2 linked regions of the Nothobranchius furzeri genome follow. The protein of the gene in region 2 interacts with the protein of the main gene of each other region in a pairwise test. Links are inferred from orthologs where the notes say so. Each region holds a gene or a part of one and is shown on either strand. Other genes may lie near its edges.

Region 1 (5,554 bases), on a different chromosome or scaffold from region 2:
CAGAAGACCACAGACGAAGGATGAGGTTAAGAACGGGGGAAGTACTGCCGCCTACAGGTCTGGCATGTCCTTAACAACGTATTTATCCGGGTACGTGTGGACAGAGTTTTTTTTTTTTAAACGCGGTGGTGTGGATGCAAGTTTTTGGAGGGGCGGATATTCGTTTAAAAAAAAACCCGGCTACGTATGGACTAGGCCTAAGTGACATTTCCTTAACCCATTTTAGCACAGAGAAAATGGTTTAAAAATATGAAAAAGTTGCAACGTATCCCTTTAAACAGTGTTGATGGTTCAGAAAGTATTGCAGTACTTCTTTTGGTTTTCACATGGTAACAGTCTGATGCATAGTTTTTGCAGTCTGTGGTTACCATGGTAAAACTGATGAGCCACTGTCTGCAGCTTTAACATTTCCGTTGATCTGGTCTTAGCTCTTGATTTGTCCTCCCGCTCTAGCTTATGACTAAATTGGCCATAGCTGCTGCCTTCTGCACATCTTTAGATTGGATTATAGACTCTGGGACTGCTGGTTCTGTAAGGCTTTTGCCAGAGGAGCTGCTATTGTCACCGTGGCCGGGAGGACGGGATGGGTAGGCCTGGCACGTGGGAGTGGAGGAGGAGTCACGTGACTCTTAGGAGAGGAGGGCAAGAAGGAAAGAAGAAACTCGTCTTTTTGCTTCCTAGAAATAATAATGCAGAGAGAATGGACGGTTTCCCCGTGAGGTGTTGAGCCAAAGTGCGCTTTTATTAGTTTTTATGTAACTTTTTGCGGCCGCCGCTGCTGCTCTTTGTGTTGTTTACGTCAGCGTCCGCATTCCTCCGCTGTGATTTAAAACAGCTGGGATTAGTTTCACTGAAACCTGCTGACGTTTGCTCGCTTTGTGCGACTTTTATTCATTAAAAAATAACTTGGAGTCAAATTAAAGTGGAGAGGAGACGCTGAGGCACGGGGGAGCTTCATCTGCTGTCCGGGGCTCTGTCAGGGTAAGAAATAATAACATGTAAGGAAGGTTAAAGGCTTGGTCTGCGGAAAATACTGAGGACAACTAAGAACAGGAACTCACACAGTCTTACATGATTATTCTCTTTGGAAATTGATGTTGTCGAACCAAACAGTGGTTTGCGGTCTCTGCCAGGGCCTGCATTAGTTTGTAACTCATTAGTTAACACTGGTTTATTAGTGTATGCTAATGAACAAAAGCCTTTCAGATCACACTGTAGAGCAGAGTAAACAGAATAAATATGATGCATGGATGAGTCTTAACCGGGTCCTGGTGTTGTCTCACTGGAGACTCAATGGGACCTTTATGAGACTATTATGTCTTCTGTCACAAGCTGCAAGTCATGAGACTCCTAGTTAGACTCGTGTAAACATCTAGTGTTTTTCTTAAATGACAACAGATTAGGAATATAATTTCTGTGCCATAATCAACACTTTATAGATTAATTCACACCTTACTAAACTTACTTAATTCAGTAAAAGGCAGCTTCTGTAGACAGGCTAAATGTAGATCTACAATGCTGTGCATATTTGAGTGCTCCTTTTCTGTGGCCATCTCCAAGTTTAGGTCCTCCACCACCTCTCTTACTCATGGTGTCCCACAAGGTTCTGTGCTGGGGCCTCTGCTCTTCCTCCTCTATCTGCTCCCTCTTCAGCACATCCTGAGCTCCTTCAAAATAATCTCCTACCATCTTTATGCAGATGACATATCCAACTGTACACCTCCTTTAAGCCCCATGAGATGTCTAAGCTCCAGCTGTTACACACCTGCTTAGACTCTATTAAAACTTGGATGGCTGGGAGCTTTCTTCAGCTGAATGAAGATAAGACTGAGAAACTCATCTGTGCCCCAGACAAGCTGGTTCCCAAAGTCAGACTCTCTCTTGGTCAGCTTGCTTCTCACACCAAACCTTCCGTCAGGAATCTTAACATTTTTTCAAATCACAGTTGTCTATTTTTTGCTCATTTTAAATATATTTTAACCATTTTCTAAATTCTTTTTTATATTTTTACATTTTTTGTTTTTGTGAAGCGCCTCGTGATTTTATCTTGAGAGGCTATAGAAATGATATTCTCTTCTTCTTTTCTTGGTCTTATCATTTTTTAAGTTTGATTATGTTTAAATGTATTTTATTTATTTTTTCAAACCATTTTATTTCCTGAAAATGTTCAGTTATAGAAAATCATAACAAGTGAAAGATATATATATATATATATATATATATATATATATATATATATATATATATATATATATATATATATACATACATACATACATTCATACATACAAGGATTTAGAAAATATTTTGTGCTCTTGTAAAGGTTGGTAGATCTGGAGCCAGAGCCAGAGTCCAGAGTGGAGGGAGGACGCCAGGTTGGGCCCGCCTCAGACAGACCTCATGGCGATCTGTGCCGGCTCCGCAGTTCCTCGTTGGAGATTAAAGAAAAAGAAATAAGAGAAAAGGGGTCAGAGATCCTGAGGGAACAGCTGGATGCGGCGAAGAAGGTATCAGTAACCTACTTCATTGTTGTACGCACAGAGAGACCGTCACGCTGTGAAAGTGGAGAAAAGCTGACTGTGCAGAAGTTCTTCCTTTTATAAAACGTGTTTGTCGTTTCCTCCTTCGCATCATAGGAACTGAAACTCAAAGATAAGGAGTGTGAACGTCTGTCTCAAGTCAGGAATCAGCTGGAGCAGGAGCTGGAGGAGCTGACTGCCAGCCTGTTTGAGGTCAGCGGTAATCACACAGCTGAGTTGATTCCTCTGGGTCCTTCAGAGGAGGACGTAGAAGCTCTGTTCACAAAGGCTCTGGGATTTAGCCGGGCCTTTGGGGATGTAGTTACATAACCATGATCGTAAAGATGGATTCTAGGTGTTACGTTTATTAGATCTTTAATGTTTGTTTTATATTTTTTTTACCAGGAAGCTCATAAAATGGTGCGTGAAGCTAATGTGAAACAAGCAGGAGCAGAGAAACAGCTGAAGGAAGCTCAAGGGAAGGTGTGTTTTCCATTAATTTTCTTTATTCCAGTCAAATCGGTTTCCCAGTTTCCCTCTGCGTCTAACTGTAGCCCTCCTTTGTTTGGTTGCTAGATTGACGTTCTGCAAGCCGAGGTGACCGCACTCAAAATTCTGGTGTTGACGTCCACGCCTTCCTCACCTAACCGCCAGCTGCACCCACAGCTGCAGTCTTCAGGCACCCGGGGAGCGCATAAATGTGGCGGGGGCCACGTCCGCAACAAGAGCATCAGCAGAGCCTTTCAGAGCTCATCTGGAAAACCAGAACCTTCCTCTGTTTCTATTCAGTCTGCGGGTAAAGAGGAGCGGGAGGTAACGTGGATCCAAACACTTCTTCTGACTTCTTCCTTTTCCCGCTTTGCGCTGAGCTGATTTCTCTTTGTGTCCCCGCTAACTTCTCTCTGACTTCCTGTTTCTGATGACTCTCAGCCCACTGGTCCCGCTCTGCTCTCTCTGATTTTCTGCCTGTTACCATGCCAGTCTGTCACTATGAAGTTTGACCCTCTTTGGCGTGAGCTCAAGTAAACAGGTAGTTACTCCTCTTTCAGCCATGTCTCATAAATATTTTACATGTAATAACAGTTCATCAGCCTGTGTTAACCAAACTCACTGGTAACATTCAGCTCTGAAACATGCTGTGGCTGTATGATGAGCACACTTTAATTTTTTTGTTTGATCATTTGGTAGTCCCAGTAACATCTGGTTCTTCAGCAAAACAACTCTTATTTTGAAAAGAACAGTGTTTAATTTTGAATAGTGGATGAGAACATCCACTGTAGAGTCTGTGTGTCTCAGTTATCAGCAGCAGCATATTTCAGTCACAGCTCTGGCTACAAAACTGGCCACTAAAACAAAAAATAACAAACCAGTAAAGAGCAGAGTTGTGTGATCGTATGACTACAACAAAAACAGAGACAGCAGTTGAGAATAAAAAAAAACAAGGCTACAGAATACTGATCTATCAGTTGAAAGTCCCAATTTGACATCAAAGTGTCTAATCCCAGAGAACATAGAGAAGCTGAAGCCCTAAACCTACCAAACATCAGATTAACACCATGAAGGTGGTTAAAAAAAAGAGTGGATGATGTTTTTCTGGAGCATTTTTGGTCACATAGCTTGAAATGCTCCTTACTGATGGCAAACAATCAATTTTGTTTAGTAAAAAATGAAAATATTTAAAGGTGTGGTTGACTGCAAACATTTTTTCTGATTATAATCAGTCACTCTGAGTTTGTCATGCAGGCTGAACATGAAAATAGTCTCCTCCACCTGTCTCCTGCAGTCGCTGTTGTTGTTTTAATATCCGTGAATCAGCAGCGGACTTCTCAGCTAGTTTAAACTAACTGTTAGCATTAGCAGCTTCACCACACAGCAGAAGCTCATCCAGGCTTGAGTTATTTGTAGAGATAAAGGGTTAAGGGGTGGATCAACCATGTGAGTGTCTATGATTTCAAAGTTGAGAATAAATCAAGAAAGCTAAAAACTGCCTTGATTTTCACCATAAAACACCAGACTAGCATACTAAATAGTTCAACGGTTGGGAAGGTGCGTTACGTTTGGAATCATGGCAGAAAAGGTGCTAACCATGGGTCAAAAAGGACAGATACGTTTATGTTTGACGGTATTTGTTGTGTCCGGTGTTTGACCATCTTCTGTGGCCATCAGATTCTGTGACTCTGGGGGGAGCCAGAAGAAAGTGTTTGACCCTAAAATTGCTTCTTTTTTCCTCCTAAATGTAGCTATTTTGAATGGCTTTTTCCATCAACGTCCACTGCACCTGCAGCACTGAGACTGATGTCAGAATCCATTAAGTCCACCAGTAACATTCCAGACTGAGCTATCCTACAAATATGCTGTAATATGAGTAAAGCAAAGTAACCTGACGTGGGTCTGAGTAGATCGGTGTGATTGTTTTTTAGGGTGGATAGATGAAGCATGACTTTTAGCTCCGAGTGGGAAACAAAGCATAACTAATTCTGGTGCTGCTATTTTAACAAGGTCCACCCTGTTCTGAGGCACATCAGCGTTATTTGATAAACTTTAAGTTCTGCTTCACACATCTTTGTTCTAGAGCAGAACATTTAGGAGAAATGACACCTCTAGATACAGATTACTGTATTCAAGGGCAAACTGTCCAAGCCTGAAGTCTCAGATTGGAAAACTTCGAACTGATTTGTTAAAAGGACTTTTCTTCTCAGACTTTCCTTATCTACAGTGTGCCTGAAGGTTGTTACTGATCCCTCTTGTAGGATAAAATCTCTCCACGTTGTTAAAATGCTGCAGTAACTTAAAGGGACATTATGGAAGTTTGACAGTCAAAACATGTATAGAAATAATGAATTTCTTCTTCATACATTCTCCTGCAATGCCCTGGTCCTGTAGAATGAGCCCTGGCATTTTTGCTGTGATTGCCTGTTTTTCTGTAAAATCACAGAAAAAGAGAGATGCTCGGGTCGAGCAGGCTGCTTCATGCACGTTCACGCTCAGTCATAGCCCGTAGCATTTGCTATCCGTAGCTTTAATAGCAGAGAGAG
Region 2 (6,296 bases):
GACAGGTATTTAGGTGCCCCCCCAGTTTAACGCCTTAAACACAAACAGGATTACCTTAAACCTGATGCGATGGGAGACAGGGAGCCAATGCAAGGCACGTAGGACTGGTGTAATATGTTCAGACCTCCTGGTACATGTTAACAACCGAGCTGCAGAGTTCTAAACTGCCTGGAGGCGTGCTATTGGAGCTTGCCCAAGCCCCGCATATAGCGAGTTGCAATAATCCAGCCTGCAGGTAACAAAGGCATGGATTACAGTTTCCAAATGGCTACGTGACAGAAATGGCTTAATCTTCATTATCTGCCAGAGATGAAAATAGCGAGATCTCACGATTCCATTTACTTGAGAATCAAATCTGAGCTCTGCGTCCATGTTTCCCATCATTCATTATTAGACATGTTATTAAAACACTTTGGATTTAAACATATTGTCCATTCAACAAAATATGATTATGAAAACTTGTAAACTTATGTAGTCATTGGAGCCAGGGAAGATAAACTTCATTCAACTCTTGTCGTGATTGGCGCTATATAAATAAACTTGAATTGAATTCAAAGAGGATAGATAAGAAGTCCTGCATCCTCTGCAGCCATGAGGACTCGTGACGTACATAGACTTCATGTCGGCACCACGGTGTCAGATAGACCTGTATGAAGAAGTTTGGTCTGTAAGTTAAAAGTTCATTTCTGGTCATTTAGATGAAATATTTGGCCATTTGGTACGCTGCAAAGAGCAAACATGAAAACGGCTCACTTTACCTAAACATCAGATACCTTTTAAAAATCTTCTATACCTGTGTTTCTGACCTGACCCTAATCCCCACGTTGTGTTCCAGGTTCTGCCTCCAGTACCAAAGAGGGGAATGCCTCCAGCCTTCAGCCTGAGTGGATCTCTGCCTGAAACGACACCACATCCTAGTGAAACCCAGTTTGAGTCCAACAAAGCTCAGAGACTCAGAACCAACCCAACTCAAAAGATCAATGGGGATTTGTTTAGACCTTTAGAATTGGAATGTCCCGATCTGACCCAGGTGGAGACCAGGAGCCAGTCTCTGCCTTACCTGGGCACCAAAGTGGAGGAGGAGGAGGCATACTCCAACCAGTTAAGCAGCCTCTCCCTTCAAGCACCTTCTTCTCCAAAAAGGGTCACCTGTCAAACCTACTCCCTCCACGCCCCCGAAGGAGATCTGAGAAGTTTCATGTCAGAGCAGCAGATCAGAAACCAGGACCAGCTGAGGTCTAACCCTCTGTACGAGCCCTCCAGGGTACCTGGAGAAAGTGCAGCTCAGCGGCGGGGTGTCATGTACGCTGAGGTTTCTAAGGGTTCAGCACCAACTACGCAGACAGAAGACACCTATGAGCTGGTCCCTGGAGAGGCCACTGAAGTCCAAAGCAACACCTACGAGTCTCTGGAGGACATGAAGACTAAGAAACCCAAAAGCACCTGGGGCAAAAATGTAAGATGCAACGTCATGTGCTGGTTTTTATTACAGAGAGTAAATAAATAATCTGACGTTTTTTTTTAAATAATTTTGTCTCTACAGAACATAAAATGGAGGAACTTCTTAAAGAAATAAATATATCTTGTGGAGTTTCTCAAGTTCGGGGCTTCCTCCTGACGTCAGGAGACTTCATTCAGAATCTCTAAGAGATGAAAATAAAAACAGGCCTCCTGGAGTGAGATTCATACCTGCATGATCAATTATGGGGTGAAAAGAGGGGGATACTGACCACCACAAATTACAGCAGGCCCAGAAAATCCTCCCTGTTATCTTATAGCAGGGGTGGTCCCGATAGCCAGCATGATTTAGTTGTTTCCCTGCTTCAACACACCTGGTTGTAATCAGCAGGTGATTAACAGGCTTTTACGGAGCCTGAGGAGCTTCTGAACAGGTGATTCAACCACTGAATTATGTAGAGTATAGAGGAACAACGAAAACATGGATACCGCCCTTTGGAGACCAGGATTGAGAACCAATGTCTTAGAAGATTAAACTCTTGTGGATCAAATGACATTATCCTACATGTTCACATGTATAGGCTATGCTGGGCTACTATAGTGAGCTTAATATCTGTATTGTTTATTTTGGGACTGAAGGACATGGGACACTAGCCCCAGAAGCCCTTCAACCCCTCCATCCTAGAAGTGTTGAGATTTAGTTATGCAAAATGGTAAATGGCCTGTGGCGCCTTCTAGGATTCTAAAACCCCCCAAGGCACTTTACAACGAACCAGCCATTCACCCATGCACACACACATTCACATGCTGGTGATGGTGAGCTACAATGTAGCCACAGCTGCCCTGCTACAGCGAGATGTGCAGGTCACTTTAACTAACTGAAGAGATAAACACTCAGGTTAGCATCATTTTTATACTTTATTCATAGCCTAATTATACTGTTATTAATGAATGTATTGATGCCTAAAAATAAATAACTTTTAAGTTTGAAATCACTTTATTTATTTGACACTTGGTGAGCATACAGTATTCTACATTTAATGAAAAAATAATGTATTTATGAGTTTTAAGGCCTCCAAATTAATGTCTTCCTCAATATGCGCGTTCCCGTAACAATGCATGCAAATGTCTCGGCTGGCATTTTCGGTACACACACCTCCAGGTTGCGCTCCGTCCTGTGGCCGCTGGGGGGCAGAGTATCCGCTGCATTCCGCTGTCAGGATTCCAGCGAAGAAGAAACTATCTCCCATCTAATTCCCGTCGGACAGTAAAATCTCGTCTTTTCTGTTTTAACAAAATCATTTTTGGACCCGCTCTCCAGTGTTGGGACGATGGGCACCAGAGATGATGAATACGACTATTTATTCAAAGGTAAAGCGGTGTTTGTTGTTATTTGGCAGGCTAGGCGGTGGAGCTAACGGAACCGCCGTCAGCCTTTTGTGTTCGGGTCTCAACAAACTTCTCTGACGTGAGTCAGCGCGTTGAATCGGTTTTCCGAACTCCCGACGAACCATGTCTGACTCGTTCGGGTAGGAAATTGTTCATCCGGTGCTTGTTGTTCGTGCTAAAGCGCATCTTGGTTCGGGATAGCGGTTAGCTCGGGTTAGCCTGCCGACAGCCAGCGGGACACACCTAGACCTAACATGATCAGATCCTCCTGATGCGATCCGGACCGATCTGCCAGCAGCACCGTTAACGGGCCCGAGACGACGTTTAACAGCAAATTCAGAGCCCGAGGCAGAACCGGGCTGGTCCAGCTGAGGTGAAACTGGACGAAAAACTCTTAACTGCTTTATTGATCAGGTTATTAATATCAGATTATTGATCAGGTTGTTCATCTGTGGGTTATTTATATTCCACTCTCACGTGAGCTTCCGGTTTCGTATTCTCACATTTCTTCCACTAACCTCCTGTTTTCCCGAGAGTTTTAACTTCATTTATCAGTTTATAAAAACACCAAATCCTGAAAGGAGCAGAATCACCAAAGAGAACATAAAATAATCAAGTATCATTAAAATAACTCCTGAATAAGAAGTAAAACGGTTGTATTTGTCTTTTTCAACCCCCCCCCCAAGCGATTTATTTTAGTGCATCTTAGTTAAAATTGAAATATTCTGCTTAAAACTGTCAATGTTGTCAGGTAAAAACTCTGCACTGCATTCAAATTTAAATCTGCCATCGCTATTGGCTGAGAAGTACACTATGATGTCAGCTGGTACATTATGAGATCACAATGTTGTTGGCCTTGTTCGAGTTGAGCAGCGCCTCGCTTGGAAAACAGATGAAAGCAGACGGATGCAGCAGGGGGAGTGGCTGAAAGCCGGCGTTTAATGCCTGATTCATGCTCCTCCATCTGCGTCAGTGCTGAGACACGCAACGTCAGAGAGCTCCGCGAGGACGGACGGAGTCGAGCTCTCTTTTCTAAACATCCGTCAGTCGAGACGGAGAACGCAAGCTTGTGATTGGTCAGGACGCCGCTGTTGTCTACAGCGCCGCCATTGCGCCCTCAAAAACATAAAGAGAGCCGAGGATAACTAGTGGCAGACACGGAGCAGCTTGAAGAATACCTCGCGAAAAAACTCTAAAATATGAATGTTTAATTCCCCAGTGACAGGAGGAGTGAAAAGATGCGCAGCAAGCGTTTTATTAGTGGATGGAAATGACAGGAAACGTGGGTTTAGAGGTGGCGAGCGCATGAAGAGGTGGAGGAGAATGAGAGACAAATTTGTCTGTTAAAAAGTCTCTTATATACAAAAAAACATAATATAAACACACCATCTTGGACCGGATGCATGACAGGATACCACAGAACAGCCTACGTCCTCTGTTGTCCTGCTGGGGAATTGCTTTGCAACACTCTCCAGGAGACGGAGAAGTATGAGAGCAAAACGCTTCCGTCAATCCGTGCGTGTCTGTCCTTTGCGGAGCTGACGGAGAAGCATGAACCAGGCTTAAGATGATCAAATTTCCCTACATGTAGCTCGCAGGTGATGATGGATAAAGATATCACATTCATTCATACTTGTTTAATTTGTAATTAAAGTTCTGGTGCTTGTTAGCAACTGAAACACATCCTGACAATATCATGTAATGTTGACATGTGCATATGAAGTAATAATAAGTAAAGGTTAGCAGCTGTAGAGTTTTAGTGTGCTCATAGGAAATGTGACAATAAAAACACAAATCACATTTCTCTTTATGGCCTATATAGTTGTCATCTTAGATCAGGTGAGAGCGAGGCGTTTCCTGTCACGCCCTAGGTTTTGCAACCGGCGGAGAGCAACTGCAGCGCCTTGCTCCAAAATCTGCGGCCGCCTTGATCTCACGAGGTTATCGTTGCCTACGTAGGCATGACATCAGAGCAAGTCGGCGTCAAGTCAGACACAAATCTAACCAGCATGCACTGCGCGCCGATCACCGGTGATCGAATCTGCGCAGAACTGGATCATCTTGAACACGGCCAATGTGAGCCTGTGTGTGTGTGTGTTAGCGGCTCTGCCCTTTCGGTCTGCCAGGCAGCAGCATTTTTTAAACAGGAAATGGGAGTGGAGTGAGACTCTGGTAGGGGTGACTTGCTCTTTAACATGGCACCTGTCAGTGGACGGGGCCAAGGGGGTGGGACTCCTAACATCCTGATAAAACGATCCCGCTCCTATGTATTTTAGACCAGATTTTTATGGTTATATGTTACAAAGCAACAACTGGGAATTATTTCATTCATTTTCAACAACATTTTGATGGATATTTCCTGAAATTTATGGTAAAAACTTCAAATTGTCTCTTTAAAAAATATTGAGTAAAAAACGCCCAGAGACAAATAAAAAAATATAAATAAATTACGGGTGCACCAATTGCAGTTTTTGGCTGATCACTGTTCACCAATCTTGAAAAAAATAAAAACAGACTTGCTGATACTGATTTTTGTCTCAACTAAAAGCAGATTATGTCAATGTTTCAATTTCCTTTTATTGTGAAAACCAACATGAATACTCATGAAACAATACCATTTTCAACTGGACATGAGGTAATGCTCTCAAGTAGGGATGCAATGATACCACTTTTTTCCAAAACGATACGATGTCGATACTTGGATCTGAGTACTCCCCGATCCCGATTACCAATACCGATACTTCTACCAAACAAAAAAAATGCGATGATTTGGAATACAGATTTGATTTTCAACAGGAAAAGTTTGTGAAGTAGATAAAAAGTAAAATATATGAATGGAAATCATCACAAAACTAAAATATTAGGTGAACAGAAATGACAAGTTACAGGGAAGCCATTTTCAAGCAACTGCATTGGTATCAGTTCCTGGTATCGGCTAACTTTTACCAATACTGGTATCGGTATTGGTACCAGTATCGTATCGGTGCATCCCTACTTTCAAGCATAAATGAACGTCTTTAGCATTGCTGTTTGAACAACAAAATCATATTTGTTCCTTTAGACTTTCATTTTTCAAAATTTGAAAACAAAACTTTTGTACCCGTTTTCACACGCATGTTCAAAAATTATTCTATAGCAATGATTGGCTTGAAAAGAACCCGAGATTGGGGCCGATAGATTGGTGCACCCCTAAAATAAATGGCTATAATAGAAACTTTTGTACCAGAGCCAGAAAGGTCTAGAACCGCTCCCGGGTTCTGGATGCTTGATGTTGTTCTAAAGGTTCTTTAAGGATAGTGGGTCAGGGAGCACCAATAATCCTGCATCATAAATAAAATAGACATCCATTAGTTTCTCCTCATTCTTGTTACTTGGACTTTAAACTGTTTTTATCTTTATTTCTGCGGTTTTCTAGATTCAGGATGTCTGATGTGTTTCCTTTGTCCTGC

The links.
Region 1: the proteins of rab11a (region 2) and rab3il1 interact in a two-hybrid assay, tested with the Homo sapiens proteins (2 studies listed by BioGRID and IntAct). The two-hybrid records come from large-scale screens. The link is inferred for Nothobranchius furzeri from reciprocal best matches to the Homo sapiens genes RAB11A and RAB3IL1.

Annotation. Positions count from the first base shown.
Region 1 is NC_091744.1:65,009,975-65,015,528, reverse strand, and holds part of rab3il1 (guanine nucleotide exchange factor for Rab-3A), read left to right. Parts: intron 1-2,323; coding exon 2,324-2,507; intron 2,508-2,636; coding exon 2,637-2,732; intron 2,733-2,924; coding exon 2,925-3,002; intron 3,003-3,095; coding exon 3,096-3,332; intron 3,333-5,554. UniProt on the Homo sapiens protein: Guanine nucleotide exchange factor (GEF) which may activate RAB3A, a GTPase that regulates synaptic vesicle exocytosis. Promotes the exchange of GDP to GTP, converting inactive GDP-bound Rab proteins into their active GTP-bound form.
Region 2 is NC_091749.1:66,767,155-66,773,450, reverse strand, and holds the start of rab11a (ras-related protein Rab-11A), read left to right. Parts: upstream 1-2,664; 5' UTR 2,665-2,789; coding exon 2,790-2,829; intron 2,830-6,296. Other genes in the region: SH2 domain-containing protein 7, read left to right, coding at 836-1,507. UniProt on the Homo sapiens protein: The small GTPases Rab are key regulators of intracellular membrane trafficking, from the formation of transport vesicles to their fusion with membranes.